Schizosaccharomyces pombe: one gene and its partner. Changing the gene in region 2 together with the main gene of any one other region gives a genetic interaction. Each region holds a gene or a part of one and is shown on either strand. Other genes may lie near its edges.

Region 1 (3,762 bases), on a different chromosome or scaffold from region 2:
ATTGTGTGAAACTTTTGATAGTAAGGTGGTTTGTGATCCTGTTGCCCTAACCGTGTTGGCAGACGCGTCCCATCATCGTCTGTTCCGGCGGCTTAAAACACATTGGAGTATTGAAGAGGCATCTCGGGGACGTGTTCGTGTTGATTTAGAGGTGGATTTTGAATTTGCAAGCAAACTCCATGGCATGATGAGCAAGTTTGTTGGATCTTCTGTAGCTTCTGAAATCATTCAAGGATTCGTCCAACAGGCTAAAATAAAGCATAAGCTAGAATCAGAAAATGAGAAATAATTACAATGATCCTGCATACAAAGGGGCTATGCCGCTATTCTTTCCATCTCAGCGTTTTTCCATCGTCTCTCTTTCAACCAAAGAAGGATATATTTTTATAAAAGGTTTCTTTTAGGAAATCATGGCTTCAGTAAGCTAAATTTTGGATCCTTCTCTTCACCTTATGTATTTATTTTATTTCATTTTTTTGGATACTCGCCAATATCATGGTATAGTTTGCTTTACTGCAATTTTTTTGATGCACAACAAAAAACTTGGTAAATTATTTCTCTACTATTAAATCAAGAGCTTAGGAGGAATTCTCATTTCTTAAAGAAACTTTACTTTGACGAAACTGTATTTTTTTTTTTGTTTTAACAATATGTCTTGAATATGCCTTCCTTTTCTTGAGTCACTGATAACCAAATATATATAATTATAGGGGTGTCTCTCTTTCTATTTAGTGCTGAAATATTGCGGATGAGCTTTGCCTCTAAAGTTGATAACCAGAGATCAGGAGTCCTTGAAGGTCAACTGTTTACAAAATTATCCTTCCTTGCTTTTGAATAGAAGGTGAAATTGGTTATGGAATGCTTCATGAAGATTTGCATTCAAAATGCATCCAGAACAATCACAAGTGTTATTTAAAAGTAAAGAATCCCTGAAGGAAAGAAAAAGTGATCTATGATGATCGTTGTTAAAAAGTCTATCAAATTTGGTCTACTGAGATATATCTAGGGAAAGCAAAATCATTTAAGTAAGACAATTCATGAAATACCCGGAGCACCTTTATAGTCGACTTTTCTTTCGATGATAAACATGACATGATTTCCATTATAGCTACAGAAACGAATTTTATGAAAAACAATCTTGTGTTTACCAACATTTTAATATCGTGCTCTATTAAACTGTGCAATATGCAAATACGGTGTTTGCCGATTTGCATTAACGGGAAGTATTTCTCCAGTAAATAAATGAAGCAAAGTGTTTTTATGTAAAATCCTTTTATCGCTTTTAACTTATAAGGATTTACTTAGTATATAAAGTTGCTGAATGGAGCCTTAAAAGTTCTAGCTGTTTTTTCGTGAAATAAACTATAGCATCACCATTCCATAGGTCCATTAGAAGTTGTGGAAATTATCCATGAGCATTTTTATATAGTGAAATTAGAATAATTTTTATCATTGAAAATAAATTATTAATTTAGTTCATTTCGAGGATGAAAACAAGTTTTATTATAATATACCTCTTATTTATACCGCATTGTTTACATCGCACGATATAACCAAACGAATCCAGTTAACGATAGCTACAACAGCCATCGGTATTAAACTATAGTGATTTGATAAGATGTTTCGAAATATATACTGGATAATATAATCACTGTCCGCTATCATAACCTTAAAAAGAAATCTCCTCTACAACTGCATTACTTGTTTACTGTGATAGTACTAAGAAATTCTCCACGTAAACCAAAATCTATTTTTTTTTCGAAATCTCGTATTTTATATACATAGGTTTCCCCTGTCATTTTAAAGTTCTGATTGTTTCTTTGACCTTATGGAAACCCATTTTACAATGCATTCAGTATAACGCTATCTAATCCATTCTCATATACAGTATAACGTAGTTATAAGTATATTGATTTGCGATCTCTATCATATTACAACGAAATACAATCCAGTCTGCAAAGCCATGACTTATATGACGAACTAGCTACATTTCTTTCTCCATTAAATCGATTAAAGAAGTATGGCACAAGACGATTCTTACGAAGAGAAACCTGAAGTTATATCCAGCGACTCGGGAGGAAGTGGTTATTCAACTGAAATCCAGATCGTCGGTACAGTAACTTCCTCGGACGGTTCGTATGTTGAGTATGAAATTGTACACCAGGTATGTGGCTTGAGATCCTTGGTATCTATGAGTTTAGCTGCTAATTTTTATACTGTAGAAGCGTTCCGTTTGGCGGAGATATTCGGATTTTGAGTCCTTGGTTAAGTTGATGCGTCGGCAGTATCCCGCTGCAATTGTTCCTCCTATACCGGGAAAACAATCACTTTGTAAGTTTTCCAATATATTTAGATATAATATCTTTCATCGCGTTTTTTCATTTTCTTTTCAAACGTTTATTAACATGGGCTGTGTGCAATTCATTGTACACACATGCTCCGCTGTTTAGTAAGTTATGCCAAACATCCACGAAAAGCTAAAAGTGATGCTGAATTCTTAAATTTTCGCTCCAGGATGCTAGAATTGTTTCTTCGTCAGTGTCTTTTGCATCCATGCATTCGTTCCAATCCTATTTTCGATAAGTTTATTCATAGCACTGTTTCTTGGCACGTGACTTTATCATCTTTAGATTTACCAAAGGATTCAAATACTGATCCACTCCGCCTTCCTCCTATTGCTACTGAGCATGACCCATTCGCTCATTTGCGCTCTTCCATGCCACTTGTAATGGCCAACTCATTAAGTCCCCCTTCGTCTCGCGCATTAAAGCCAATCCATTCCTTATCTAATCCTTCAACTGCTTCGAGTTTAGAACCTTCTTCTCCTTTGGGCTCTGAGGATGAATGTCATCCCCCAACAAGCGATATGCAACCTACGCATGAATTGAATGAAAGTCCTTCTACCCCAACGGCACCAGACTTTCCACATTACAATAGCTCACCTTCGGAGTTATCTCCCACACAGCGTCGTTCCAGCATTTCTAATGGTAAAGACGCACCCTCTCCAGTACTCAAAGATTTGACTTCCTATACTCAAGAAGTGATTGTTTGTCGGAAATTCCTTCATCATAGTCTGAGTCCTTCCATACATTCAACTTTATCTAGTATTTCTAAAATGGAGTCTTGCCTTTCAAAGTTAGGATCGGCATTTCACTCTTTGACTGCTCTCAATGAAATACAATTAGCAAATCATTTGCAAGTGATTGCTAATGCCTTTGAATTCAGCGGAATGTACGCCAAGGAATTCGAACAAGAATTTAATTCCTCCGTCTATGAAAAAATGGTTCAGTCTATGCAGCTGGCGAAGTGTGCCGCAGATGCTCTTAAGTATAAGCAATTGAAGATACAACAGCGAGATTTTCTTCAAGACCAGCTCATCCACTCTAACACAATGTCTGCTACCGACTCTATGGTAGCTGCTTCACCCACGATACACCCGGCGACCAGATTGAATACTATTCAACGAGCAGTTGTCTCCCAAGCCAAAAAGGGTTACACAATTTTTGGTCGCTTACAAAACGTTTTACATGACTTTGTAGAAGGTGAAACCTCCATTAGCAAAGAAAGTCTCCAGCAGCATAAGAATACCATAGAGAATCAACTAGCGGCTGCAAATTGGGATTGTCAAAAAATTGACGAATTCATGGATGCAGAGCTTAAATTCTACAAAGAATGTCAGACGTCGCAGTGGGAAGAAATAATTAAATCTGTTCATGAATGTATCTACAAATGGGCACAAACAAATTTACAACGATGGTTGCG
Region 2 (3,171 bases):
TCCATACACTAACAGAAAATTCTTGACTACCTCTCCAAAGTCAAGTTGTACAAATCATGAGCATAAATCGCACACATTCTACTCATCAATCCCATTGCCAAGAGTTAAAGTATTTTGAGGATATGCGTTATTAAGTGTATCGTGTAAGCTACGCAGTTTGGTATCTGATTTAAGGATACGAAGAACTGCGGTGAGTTTTCCTTGTGGTCTATTATATTACAATACACAGGTTGTATAAGTAGCAACTGAGTATAGGTATTGTATTAACTGGGCTATAATGTTACCTATCACTAATATAGCTCATAACTGAACTGAGGAACGAGGTTCAGTTGTAACGCTATTTATAATATTTCTAAATAGTTGTTATCAACGGGTATCTATGTATATAGACGGATAGTTACCCGTGATTATCAATAAACGGATCTTAGCTAGTATTCCAACATATGACATATAGTGATACGCAACGTAGTGTATCATAGCGTAGTGTAGTATTGCTGACATATCGTAATGTACCCAATTACGGTAGAATGATTAAGAGAATTGTATTTAGGAATATACCGCCTTTAGTATTATGCGAAACGCTATTTTTTGTAATGAGCCATTTCTTTCGCGCACTAGCAAAATAGTCTCATATTGCTACTTCACGAATAGCAAAAATAAGTCATATAAAATAAGTAGCTCAAGGTAATTACTGTTTTCGGCATAATACTTTATACATCTTGGCAAATTTCTTATATAAACAGCGTCCCCCTCAGAGAACTTTTTCTGTTTTCTACCAAAATAATATGTAGGTAGATCGATGGATAGAAGCGATTAACGTATTTGCAAAACAGATCATCAGGATTTTTTTTAACTCCAAAATAACCATAGTGTCACTCGCTTCCTAGTACAAAGCATTACTATGGTTATGTTATTTTATTTTTTAAAAGCTCAATGATATTATCAGCAGTTGTACTTGCGATTCTTTCTCAAAAATGCATACTGAGAGGTTTGTTCATTATGGGAAAATTATGAGTTCACGAATATTTCTTTCTAGAGCGAATTTTATTATCCTCCTCACGTCGATTGAAGCTTCATAACAATTTGACTGTTACAAGCGATTGCTCCTAACAACTTCCGTGAACGAACGGGCTTTGCAAGTCTACCGACCGGCCTTAGGCTCTTCACACCTAGACTCAAAACGCTAATCTATATACATGTAGGACTTTTATTCTGCGAACTCTAGTGGGATTTACTGAACCAAATGGGGGTTTGATATTTTAGCTAGTCTATGCATTTGAATCTCTATGCAATGTTTGTCTACTCAAGTTTCCCTTTCTTTGAAGATCTTTACCCCCATTAGCGACCTTACTTCAACGTGGTCATTCTTACCTTACGCTAAATGTTTTAACGTCTACGAAAACGAGAACGACGATTGCTATTACCGCAACTTTAGATATCGTTATTTATTCTTCGAGTGGCGCGTTATCATCTTTAGCGGAATTTCAATTCCGCGAAGGAGCACGTAATATGATTACGAATACTGGTGGAGTAAGCCAACGCCAAGCTGAGGTGATGCTCGGCGTAGCTTATTGGCCTATTTTGGAGGCTCGAAGGCACGGACTAGACAATGCTTTGTAAAGCAAATTTGTTAAATCGATAAGTATAAAGACAATTTCTTCGTTTTTAGAATATAAAAAAACATTGGTCATATCGAAAAATTGATTTGAGTTGATATCGTTAAAATTTCATGTATATTCCGCGTGGAGCTATTTACTATATAAGCGATGACACGCCGCCCTATCCTCTTCCAATTCCAAACAAAATTTTCGAAATCTCCAACTTTGAAGTGTGGTTAAAATCTTATTGATTTTCCTTCAAAACACTTAATTACTCAAAACACCCCTTCTCTTGTTGTATTTTTTTAAAGTAAATTATCGTCATACAAAATGGTTAGAGCTGTAGCAGTTCTTCGTGGTGACTCTAAGGTCAGTGGTGTCGTTACTTTTGAACAAGTCGATCAAAACTCTCAAGTTTCTGTGATTGTGGATCTCGTTGGCAATGACGCTAATGCCAAGCGTGGTTTCCATATTCACCAATTCGGTGATAATACCAACGGTTGTACCTCTGCTGGTCCTCACTTTAACCCAGAGGGTAAGACTCACGGTGACCGTACCGCCGCTGTTCGTCACGTTGGTGATCTTGGTAACTTGGAAAGCGATGCTCAGGGCAACATCAAGACTACTTTCTCTGATTCTGTTATCTCATTGTTTGGTGCCAACAGCATCATTGGCCGTACCATTGTCATTCATGCCGGTGAGGATGATCTTGGTAAGGGTACTAGTGAAGAGTCTTTGAAGACTGGTAACGCTGGTGCACGTAACGCTTGTGGTGTCATTGGTATTGCCGTCTAAATTTATTGAGTTTTTACGTCTTTTTGTTCAAATGGCTGTGGGTTTAGGTGTTGGTTAGTATTGTTATCATTTAGTTGAGTGATCTCAAATTTCTTTTTTTTTATGAAAAGTTCCGTATATTATGCTTCTATAGGTTCTGTATTAAAAAACTTAATTTAATTGATGATGATAAGTACTGTAGCTTTGTGGAAGCTGTTTGTTACTATTATGTTATATGTGTAAAAAAATGTAGTGATGTATTTTTGTCCTTAAGACTCTGCGTTCGAGTTTACATAAAATTCAGTTAATTAGAAGGAATTGTTGTAACTTTGTTTCGGTATTGATAATGAAGAAGCAAAAGCAGCAACAATTTTTGATCTTTTAGTCAGAAAACTTTGTTTTGCATCGTTGAGTTCGTGCATAAAGATGATAGAAAGTGCTTTTCGTATTGTTTAAAAAAAGATATATAGAATGTTGATTAATAGATACACACATAGTAGCAATATCAACACATCTTGTTAAAATTCTAATGGGTGAAGCCTTTTTTTTTATTAATCATAATACCATCGTTTCATCTTTGTTGATTTTGTTATTACTTTTACGTATCAATGAATTTTTACGAACTAATTTCAACTAAACAATAACGACAGGCAAGTTTGTGTAAACTGAAAACATCTGCACAAGTTGTATTTTAAAATAAATTTTATTCTATAAGTCTAAAGGTTCACATCCAGTGTGAACAATTAATAAAATAAGTGGTTAAATAATAACCAACTAATTCAAAAAGATGCAAAAAAGA

Evidence for each region. A genetic interaction does not mean that the proteins touch.
Region 1: mutations in sod1 (region 2) and atg20 together harm fitness less than expected from each alone (positive genetic interaction), as found in Schizosaccharomyces pombe (one large-scale study listed by BioGRID).

The regions. Positions count from the first base shown.
Region 1 is NC_003421.2:881,372-885,133, forward strand, and holds the start of atg20 (sorting nexin Atg20), read left to right. Parts: upstream 1-2,000; 5' UTR 2,001-2,020; coding exon 2,021-2,164; intron 2,165-2,222; coding exon 2,223-2,331; intron 2,332-2,450; coding exon 2,451-3,762. Other genes in the region: ubiquinone-binding protein Coq10, read left to right, coding at 1-289. UniProt on the Schizosaccharomyces pombe protein: Required for cytoplasm to vacuole transport (Cvt), pexophagy and mitophagy. Also involved in endoplasmic reticulum-specific autophagic process and is essential for the survival of cells subjected to severe ER stress.
Region 2 is NC_003424.3:1,002,221-1,005,391, reverse strand, and holds sod1 (superoxide dismutase Sod1), read left to right. Parts: upstream 1-1,791; 5' UTR 1,792-1,928; coding exon 1,929-2,393; 3' UTR 2,394-2,554; downstream 2,555-3,171. UniProt on the Schizosaccharomyces pombe protein: Destroys radicals which are normally produced within the cells and which are toxic to biological systems.